3 linked regions of the Xenopus tropicalis genome follow. The protein of the gene in region 2 interacts with the protein of the main gene of each other region in a pairwise test. Links are inferred from orthologs where the notes say so. Each region holds a gene or a part of one and is shown on either strand. Other genes may lie near its edges. The genes, in order: mkln1, ranbp9 and oprm1.

The links.
Region 1: the proteins of ranbp9 (region 2) and mkln1 interact in a two-hybrid assay, tested with the Homo sapiens proteins (2 studies listed by BioGRID). The link is inferred for Xenopus tropicalis from reciprocal best matches to the Homo sapiens genes RANBP9 and MKLN1.
Region 3: the proteins of ranbp9 (region 2) and oprm1 interact in binary tests that used the Homo sapiens proteins (3 or more experiments, as listed by UniProt). The link is inferred for Xenopus tropicalis from reciprocal best matches to the Homo sapiens genes RANBP9 and OPRM1.

The regions. Positions count from the first base shown.
Region 1 is NC_030679.2:85,024,911-85,028,564, reverse strand, and holds part of mkln1 (muskelin), read right to left. Parts: intron 2,861-3,654; coding exon 2,758-2,860; intron 398-2,757; coding exon 343-397; intron 1-342. UniProt on the Homo sapiens protein: Component of the CTLH E3 ubiquitin-protein ligase complex that selectively accepts ubiquitin from UBE2H and mediates ubiquitination and subsequent proteasomal degradation of the transcription factor HBP1.
Region 2 is NC_030682.2:91,811,730-91,815,383, forward strand, and holds part of ranbp9 (ran-binding protein 9), read right to left. Parts: intron 3,385-3,654; coding exon 3,237-3,384; intron 2,249-3,236; coding exon 2,127-2,248; intron 1,565-2,126; coding exon 1,413-1,564; intron 782-1,412; coding exon 670-781; intron 1-669. UniProt on the Homo sapiens protein: May act as scaffolding protein, and as adapter protein to couple membrane receptors to intracellular signaling pathways. Acts as a mediator of cell spreading and actin cytoskeleton rearrangement.
Region 3 is NC_030681.2:43,442,757-43,446,510, reverse strand, and holds the start of oprm1 (mu-type opioid receptor), read right to left. Parts: upstream 2,748-3,754; 5' UTR 2,259-2,747; coding exon 1,972-2,258; intron 1-1,971. UniProt on the Homo sapiens protein: Receptor for endogenous opioids such as beta-endorphin and endomorphin. Receptor for natural and synthetic opioids including morphine, heroin, DAMGO, fentanyl, etorphine, buprenorphin and methadone.

The sequences.
Region 1 (3,654 bases), on a different chromosome or scaffold from region 2:
GTACATGCTCACACTCCACAAGCTTGCAATGATATTAGCTTTACCAAATAATGGCACAGCAGTAGTGCCCTGCTCACTGAAGGGACGGAGGGGTGAACAAGGTAGCAATTGTTAACAAGAACTGTCAGGAAGCAAGCAAAAGGTCCCACTGTCCAAAATGGGTAACTTGTTTATATTGCATTCAGACATAGACTTTGTACTGAGGCATTCTGACTATTTTGGTGAACAGGGCATTTGGTACAATTGGAGCCCTTTTACATTCACTGTACTGAGTTTGGTTGCTGTCAGAGGTCTATAGAAAATATGTTAAAAAAGCAGATATGTTTGTTGTTTTTTACCTACCAAGTGGGGTGAAGTCTTTATTTGATTTGAAAAGTGCTGAAGGAAGTAGCTGAAACTGTTAACAAAAAACAAAAAAAACAAAAAAACAAAATTGAATATTTAGATGATTAAGTGAAAAAATGAGAGAGCTACTTCCCATCTAAGCCCAATCCCTTTAGTACCCAAGCTACTAAACCTATTCCCAACACAGGAATGACTGTACCATGTCCTCCTTGTCATTATTTTCTATTTTTGATGACTTGGAGAGATGACACACAATTGTTCATGTAATAAGCATGTTTGAGCTAACAGAGGAATATACAACAGTGCTTAGTAGACATAGGGGCATATTTAATATAGCGTGTAAGCCAACATCACCGGTGAAGTTGCCCAGAGAAATCAATTAGATCTTTGCTTTTCTTTCCCAACTTGTAGGCGACTGCTAAAATAGAATTGCCAGTGATGTTGGCTTACACACTATAATAAATATGCCCCATAGTGTACTTACACCTCAAAATTGGGTGCACATGGTATTTTAATATTGAATTCTGAAAGTGACATTGCAATTTCTGCTATTAACTACGTCTGTTATGTAGCTAAATGCAATTGCATGCATTTCAAGCACCAGCTGCACATCTCCCCCGTGGAGTCTGCATATATTAAAAATGCTGCCTTGTGGATAAAAACCATTACTTGCTCTCAAAATTGCACTTTGCACACTGCATTCATAAGCGAGCCCTAATGCCTCACTGGCCAGAAGTTCAGTGCATTCAAATGTACATTGTAACCTATGTAGTTCAATCAAGAATGTGCATTACACAAGCACAAAGAGACTGAGTATTCGTATTGACAAATATAAAATGAATACTGTGACGATGGCAAGAGTACTATCATATTTATTTATAGCACCAATGTCTCTAGAAGAGTAAAGGGATACAAATACAAAACACACCAGTTCATATACAGACAAACATTTCACCAGAATACATGCACAGTAATAATTGAATATTGTTAGGACACTATAGGGTGAAGGCCATGCTTCATCTTAGAGATGCAGTACAGGAAATATTTCTGCACTTTGAATAGAAGAAGGCGACCTTTAACCCGGCCAAGTATGGAAGGCTCGGACATCAGCTATGAAGAATTAATTTTCAGATCATCTTTGGAAAAAGCATTATGCATATTAAAGGAGAAGGAAAGGCTAAGTCACTTGGGGGTGCCAAAATGTTAGGCACCCCCAAGTGACTTTAATCGCTTACCTTTTACCCCGGGCTGGTGCCCCTGTTAGGAGAAAACCACACCAGCCCGGGGTACCCACAGCGAGCGTTTCCTCTTCCTTCTGTCCGCAAAATCCCTGGGCCGGCGAATGCGCAGTAGAGTGAAAAGAGTGTTAACGTTCGGCTTTTCCCTCTACTGTGCATGCGCAAGCGAGCGAGAAGGAGGGGGAAACACTCGCCACAGGTACCCCGGGCTGGTGCGGTTTTCTTGCACTCCCCTGTAGCAAGATGTGAAATAGCAGGTGATTTCTCACATAAAAATACCCACAGGTCGTGCATATAGCGTAAAAGTGTACAAACAATAGTAAGGGGGTTATTTAAAGACATGCACCGAATATCCAGGATTCGGTTCGGGGGACTGTGCGCTTTTATTTTACCCTATTTACATATGCAAATTAGGGTCCGGATTCAATTTGGTCGAATCTTTCGTGACTGATCCTGAGTTTGGCTGAACTCAAAAATAATAGATTCAGTGCATCCCTAGTTATTTATAAAGCTAGGTAAATAAGTTGCACTAGAATACATTCCACATTGCCACTTAATAGTTACAAAGATGTGTAATGGAATTGGACATATGTAGCAGTGTGTAAAAGTTGGGGATGCAGAAAGATGTGTAAGTTAGGAGAGGAAGCTGTAAAACCTGCAGTAGATTACAACCACTTTAGCTCATCTTTATAAATGCAACAATCAGCTGGTTGTAATGGATCATATTCATGCCCGCAGTCCACTGTTAAATTATTATAAAAAATACACCAGTTTTTGGTATAAATCATTTTAAACAACATTACTGTCTGTCAGAAGCAGTGCACAAGAAAAACCCTTTCCACTAAAGAACAGAGATGCAGATCTGTGGTGATCTCAAATGCTAACTAGAGCATAGATTTCCAAACTATGGGGTAGCCCATTACTGTAGTTTCTGGTTAAGACACTTTCTAATAGTTTTAATATATGTTTGTAAAATTACAAATATAACAAAAAAAAAAAAAATAAATAAATCTGCTTTTGCATGAGAATCCTTACTCCCCATTCTACACTAGCACTAGTGGCTGCAGAGCATTCTGAGTTTATGGGCAGTACGAGAGTATTACTTTAAATTATAGCAATCTGATTTTTAGTCACACGCTGACGGCTGGTACTAAAATAAAAATGTACTTTTCACCTCTTTAGTTTCTTCAGGGTCTGAGTGATCCACAGTGACAAACAAATCATTTTGCAAATATTTCAGTGCACTGAGGGGCTCCGTCTGGGCACGCTCTTCAAACCTGTGTAAGGCATGTCTGTATTAGCTTACACATTTAAACACCTTACATTCATAACTAGGAGAAAACACAGCACTAGATGAATTAACTGAAGGTCAGCATAATAAATCTACCCTAACATACAAAAGAAGTCTCAAGCAAAATATATTTCTTTTGGAGGGAGTATTTATAAAAAAAAAAATGCATTTTACTCTTCTTCCATTATGTGTCTGGCTTGATTCACTGGCTGCGGTTTATGAGCCACAGCCACAGTTACTCCTGTTTGTAGACTTACACTAGTTAACAAATGGATCATAACTAAAGCAATCCTTTTTTTTTTTTTTAGTAAAAGTATAAGGGATCAAACACACAAGCATTTGTGCCTGTGCTTTCCTCTGCTGCGTTCCACCGCAGGGAAGCACAGAAATAAACACACCCTTATTCTTCCTAATGCGCCCGTACTCACACAGGCACATGTAAGCATCCAACCCTGTGTTCGAGCTTAACTATGTGTTTGCCATTCAGAATACAATTAAGAGAACATGTTCACCAATGCATTACCATTAGCTACGCTATTTTACCTACACTGGATAAAACAGTTTTTGATATTATGAAGTTGTGGCAATGGGTTATTTTAAATTTCATTGACCTAAGTTATATCTTATGAATGCAGCTACCTTACATTCAGTGGTGCCAATGGAATACACTAAATTACCAAAATCTGGATGAAAATAATAAGGTCAAATCACTTTGGGCTGCTTCAGTTAAAGAATAGCACCTCAAAATATATCATATAATCTGATACTACACTGGCCAAA
Region 2 (3,654 bases):
ACTTCGGCAATTAAATTTTTTTTTTTTTAGATTTCATGATTTTGCAGATTCTGTGTTGCTGAAATATGTCCTGAGTCCTGACTATGCAGTCTAGTTTGTTGAATCCAAGCCATGTAGCACCTTCTTGCTTTGTCTGCTGACATTCTGATGATTTCCCCCAACCCCTAATCTCAGCTTCTCAAGCGCAGCCCAGAGAACACTGACCATGTGCAGTGTCACACTCATTTAAAAGATGGCCTAACAGGATCAGAGGATGGGGAGCTGCTATTATAGCCTGGATCAGTACTGCTATATAGCTGCTTACTACAACATTTCTAGCCATATTTTTTTAGCTTTTAGTTGTACTTTACAAATCCTGTGCCTGTTATTGGAACACATTATGCTTAATGTTTATTTTCAGCAGGGTGGGAGTTTGCACTTTGGCTTGCTCTTAGCTTCCTGCAGTACAATTTTAGGTTATAGCCTTTTGACAAAGTAGGGAGGAATGGATAGCAAAACAGATTTCCTTTCCCAAATCTAACTATATATGCTATATTTAGGTATAAAAAAAAATTGTTTTGATGCTACTGCCCCAGAATAAGTTCTTGCATGATTCCATGTCATTGGCTGTAATTCGAATGGACAGATTTCCATGCACAGGGAAAGCCATACAAACAGAGTGAGACTTACCTAGTATTGCACTGTTCAGTGAGGAGCACACATGCTCTCTCTGTATGGGGTCAAGCTGGTACCCAACTGGGCTATTCCAGGGATCAGAATATGCTAGTAAACTGAATGCATCCTGTTTAGAAGATAAAATAAAGGAGAAATATAAGGAAACAATTGGACCATTTCTTCAGTGCCATTTAGATGAGTTTCATGAGATTTCCCAAACACCCTGTACTGCTCAGCAAACTGCACATTAACATCAGCACTAGAGTTGAGCACACCTTTCTCCCATTCTATTTATCATGATATCCAGGAAAGGCTGAAGCCAAACCCAGAACTGCATGAGGATTCCATGGGAAAGATGGCACCAAAAGACTGGTATTTTTTTTATTGGTCTTACCAGGGATTACCCCCCCCCCCCCCAAAAAAAACCCAAAAACCCATCAAGCAATATTATTTGGCTCTTGATGGACATAACCATAGTTTGTGTATGTGATAGTTAGAATGATCAGTTAACATATGCTTTAACATAAATAAAGCATATAACTAACCTATGCTGCACTAAAATGCTGACTGACATTTCTTGGTGCTCCCTGACAAACTATTCTAGGTGAAGCAGTCCGACTTGCAATTAAGTGGTTCTTTTTTAACCCATCCAGAATCCTCCAAACCCAGAGCAGCCGCTGAGTGCGTTAGTTTAGAAAGAACCAAGAAACCACCAGATACATATTCCAACAACAGACCATAATCCAAAACTATTGCACCTTAAGCATGTTTTTGTTGGTTGCATTTTTCCCACGTTCTCTTCTTAACTGCTCACTCATGGCTTGTAGCTCTCTCCCAAAGCAAATCATTCTCTCAACAGCGGCTTGGCTGCCTCCACACAGCTGGCGTCGGCCATGAGAAGTATCGACTTCTGCAACCAAAACAATAAATCAGCTTTAGCACTAAGATGTCAGTGTGGTTGTGTCCCATTCCTAATGCAAAGCAGGACATTGCCTGCATCTTGTCCTGTAAAGAAACATTCTACTAAACAACTATGGAATCTGACCTGGTTCTTCCAATTGGTGAAAAGATTCATGTTCTTTTTAGCCACGCAAACACTGAATATCCAATCACTCAAAGGGGAATACAAGATTTAAGTAAAGAACATATTGCTGTAAAAATGATGCAGGGTAAGTTACAAATTATATTTCTACATAACAGCAGATATTTGCACCTGGACAGTAACCCATGGCAACAAATCAGATGTTTGTTTTAATTGCTCATCTTGCAGCTGGCTGAAAAAAGCTAATCACTGATTAGTTGATATTGGTTACTACCCAGGTGCAAATTTGCCCAGTGTTTATAAATAAACCCCTGGATATCATGAGCTCTGTAGTTATCAAAGTGTAGAGGATTACTTTGGTGCAAATATTATCTGCGCTGCATTATTTCTTCTTGCATGCCTATAATATATAGATAAAAATGCTGCAGACCCATCTCAGTGTCACATTCTTCTAGTTCAGGCTCGTGCCTTGAGCTGCCATTGAGGAAGCCATTAGACGTGGATGCTGAAAAGCCATTGGAATAATGATCGGTCTCCATTTCTACATCATTACTGAAGAAGGAAAAGCACATTGTTACACACTGGGACAGGCAGTTATATTTAACTTTAAAGATTAAGTAACATCCTTTATACAGATATTGCTTGCTCATTTAGGTATAATTTACAAAAATGATTCTTAACCCATGGGTTGGGACCTAAAATTTGGTCCCTCTGTTGTTTAGAGTGGGTCACCCTGATCAACAGTAAAACGTCCTTCTGCAACAGACCATAGTAATTAAAAGGAGACAGGGAATTATATTGCAGTTCTTGGGTGTAGAGGTGGAATTCCAGACAATGTTAATTCCATTTAAAAAAAGTTTAAGAAACCCAAGGAATAACTTATAGGGATGCACCAGATCCTGTATTTTGGGATTTGGGCGAATCCTGCACACCCATGCCTACACCAGCGAATGTTATAATATACTATGCTGTTGGTTTATTGTGCTTTTATTCATGCAGCAGTTATTTTTGAGAAGGCAAGACCTCCCCCTCTCTCCCCTCAGCAGTAAAGCGTAAACTGTACAGGGGAAAGTCTGTGTAAGGGAAGGCCAGTACACAGTGTTCTCTCCTCTGTTATCATTGTTATATGTTATGCCTGTGCTTGGCAGCAGCTGGAATTCCGAGTAGCCAGGCTGCCAGTATGACACACACCATGTGAAGCAGTAAAGCTGCTTTGCTTCTAGGCAGCCACTGCTATTAGGCAGCACAGCAAGTACCTGACCTCAGAGGAGAGGATAAGGGAAGCAAAACAAAATGGTGCATCATTGCACAGCCCCAGGGAACATACTGCAGCAGAGCCATTCATCATGGGGTTGAGGTTACACATAAAAATGAGGTGCAGAGAAGAGAGAAGCCTATTTTCTGGCCATAAGCCTGGGAAATGAAAAGTAAGCGTGTGGGGGTGGTGGCAGAATGTGTAGGTCTGCGGTTTGGTGCACTGGGATAAAAACTTGTCAGCGTGGGGAGGCAAGCCTGCAGGATACACAGCATGGTTTCTCACCTGGAGTAGCTGTTAAGTTGATGTGACATTGTCATGTTTATGCTGTTTAGTTCCGTTACATTTAGGTTAGAAGACTGTGATTTGCTATGACAATGTGTCTGGTGAGCCTTGTTTGATATTATTCCATTGCTGCAGTTGCTATCAGAACCTGAGGGACAGAGGTACAGACACGTGTCAGTTCTGCAATCCAACCTTTTATTTCACATAACTGTGTACTAACGTTAATGTCAGATACATGTACTAATGTTAGCTATGCCAAAGACTATTACAGCCATTGATAGTCAAATCAGTAATATCAGTAAGTGCCCTAAACAAATTAAGAATATTTTCATTTGAACACTGCCCAGTTTGGGTTTCAGAGTTAAAATTTTCACTTCCTCTAGTTCCAGGGCACAACGGAGAAGGTAGGCCTGAGGGA
Region 3 (3,754 bases), on a different chromosome or scaffold from region 2:
ACATGGCAGCCCATTTAGGGGGCAGGTAGTGAGTGGGAAGGTGGACACCTTCTTGCCTTCCTCAGGCAACCCTTTATAAATATGGTGCTGCTAAAGACAGGCAGTACTGCATTAATCCAAAAAGAGTCAGGTCTTTAGGTGACCATGACTAGGCACCCTGCTCCACTGATTGTCAATGAGCCCTTAGGTGTCCTGTTGTGGAAGAATAAAGGAAAATATACAAGGCACAGGTTTATTAGCTCCTGATAAAATTGACCATAGTGTGTGATTGCAATCAAGACTAGATTGTAAGCTCTGTAAGCATTGGGGCAGGGACTGTTAGGAATAATGTATAATCATTGTAAAAGCATTGCGGAATATGTTGTATTGACTAATAATACAGGTAAATAAAGGAAAAATGCACATAAAGTAACACAAAAATAATGTTTATTCTAAAGCCAAATAATCTTCAAGGCCTTGCACTCTGACACTCTAATGAAGCATCTAGTGCTGACTTGGCACACCAAGATATGTCGCTTGTATATAGTACATGTGCACAGAATTAGAATTAAGCAACAGCCTACTTGTATGACTGGCCCCTTGGTGCAAACCACCAACATAAAACAAAAAAATGGACAGAATGCTTTTGTTTGCTATTTTTTTCCAGTTCAATGTTATTAGCCACAATGGCTTGGTCTGGAAAACGTACTCCCTGATTCCTGTTAAGGATGTCACTATCACTTCCAATAGATGGCACTGTGTACATATTGATACTGTTTCACTGATCATTATAGGTATAGGAAAAGTTATATGTAATAAAACTACTTTAATTAACAGCAATGTCTTTATCTCTCTGTAGCAACACCTATACTATACTGTATTGATAATGGGAACAAAATGATTCTATCATCTCTAAGTTCATCTATTGCTTTATTTTAACAGAAGCTTGATAAGTGATATTTATTATCCAAAAATAATCTAAGTGCTCCTGGCATCAAGCCTTTGATGAGCGTGTGTACGATTTAGCAGGGGAAGAGGGACCTGTGGGAAGGTTGGCTCTAGGGCAGGTCCACTGGGCACAGGGAAACTTTATATTCATTTCAACATAGAGGAAGACCATGGATCTAGATGGGAAGTATTGTACTTTATGCACCTTCTCTAGTAGTAGGGAAAAGGCACCCACTGTATGATACTTGTGGAACACAGGATAGTATATACATCTGTGCAAATACATATGATCATTGCTTCTTAATGAAACAATTCACATTGCTAGTGTTTGATTTGATCACATCCCCTTTCCTCCCAAGAGTTTGCAATGAGTGGGTTTCCCAATGTACTGTGTGATACAGTGTTATAGTGAATCCACTTAAATAATACATGATCTCTAGTAAGTAGCAATTAGCGACAGTAATCCCACTGCCTGCGAGAGACATCAGACTGCGAAATGCCAGGGTGGGGTGCCAGGCATGAAGGAAGGGGCACTGGCTTAAGCCCTTACCTGACAATGACATACATGATCAGGAGTCAAGTGTTTACCTGACAACTACATACATGATCAGGAGTCAAGTGCTTACCATACAACTACATACATGATCAGGAGTCAAGTGCTTACCATACAACTACATACATGATCAGGAGTGAAGTGTTTACCTGACAACTACATACATGATCAGGAGTCAAGTGTTTACCTAACAACTACATACATGATCAGGAGTCAAGTGTTTACCTGACAACTACATACATGATCAGGAGTCAAGTGTTTACCTGACAACTACATACATGATCAGGAGTCAAGTGTTTACCTGACAACTACATACATGATCAAGAGTGAAGTGCTTACCTGACAATGACATACATGATCAGGAGTCAAGTGCTTACCATACAACTACATACATGATCAGGAGTCAAGTGCTTACCATACAACTACATACATGATCAGGAGTCAAGTGCTTACCATACAACTACATACATGATCAGGAGTGAAGTGCTTACCTGACAATGACATACATGACCAAGACGTTGCCAAAGAGTCCCATCACACAGATCATGGAGTAGAGAGCGGTGATGATGATGGCTATAATAATGGAATCGCTGTCCTCCGGGAAAGTCTCTGACTGGTTGCACAAGTATGACTGGTTGCCTTCCAGTCTGCTCCAGTTGCCCATGCCGCCAACCGGACATATCATTGGAATCTGAGAGCCATTGTCACCCAAGCCGCTAAGGGTGCTATTGAGCAGGCTGTCGGCAGATCGAAGGGAGCTGTTCGGGGTACCGTCCATTTTGAGCTTAGCGAGTGCTAGTTTGGTGCTAAGAGGCGCTAGGATGTGAGCGCTGGATGTAGAGTGGCTCCAATGAGGCTCTCCTCCTCCTCCTCCTCCCCCCGCACTGCTGCCCCTTCTGCTCTCCCCCCTCTCCTGTCAGTCACAGAGAAAGCGCTCAGCCAGCTGCAAGGGGCCAGGGAGCGGGCAAGGAGGGTGATAGCAAAGCGCTGGGAAAGCGCAAGGAATGGCTGTACCCAACAGTGCGAGAGCCGTGCGTGTCTTCTCTTCCAGGCATTAATCCTCCACTTCTAGTCCCCTCTGCATCCACCTATTATATACACCCCGCCTCTTCTCTTCTCCTCACCGCCAGCAGCCACCGCACCAGCAGCCCCATTAGCCTCCCCGCCGCCGTCAGGCGCTAATTGACTCGCACTAACACTGCCCAGCTCCGCTAATAATGAGTCGCTTGCTCATCTGACGTTGGGCTACAAAGAGTTAAACAAAGGAGTACAGACTCAGCACCAACCCATACACCCTACTAACTACCTCTATCAGCACAGTACTACCAAACCATATACACCACCTTATACACACTCACCAACCCATACACACTGCCAACCCCACTCACCAACCCATACACACTGCCAACCCCACTCACCAACCCATACACACTGCCAACCCCACTCACCAACCCATACACACTGCCAACCCCACTCACCAACCCATACACACACTACTAACCCCACTCACCAACCCATACACACTGCCAACCCCACTCACCAACCCATACACACTACCAACCCCACTCACCAACCCATACACACTGCCAACCCCACTCACCAACCCATACACACTACCAACCCCACTCACCAACCCATACACACATCCAACCCCACTCACCAACCCATACACACTACCAACCCCACTCACCAACCCATACACACTGCTAACCCCACTCACCAACCCATACACACTACCAACCCCACTCACCAACCCATACACACTGCCAACCCCACTCACCAACCCATACACACTGTTAACCCCACTCACCAACCCATACACACTACCAACCCCACTCACCAACCCATACACACTACCAACCCCACTCACCATCCCATACATACTACCAACCCCACTCACCAACCCATACACACTGCCAACCCCACTCACCAACCCATACACACACTACTAACCCCACTCACCAACCCATACACACACTACTAACCCCACTCACCAACCCATACACACACTACTAACCCCACTCACCAAACCATACACACACTACTAACCCCACTCACCAACCCATACACACACTACTAACCCCACTCACCAAACCATACACACACTACTAACCCCACTAACCAACCAATAAACACACTACTAACCCCACTCACCAACCCATACACACTTACTAGCTTACCAACACACACATACTTGCTGCCTCTACCAACACACATAATATTTTTCATTATTTGTTAATCCCTTGGAATTTAAATGACAAGACAGATGTGAGA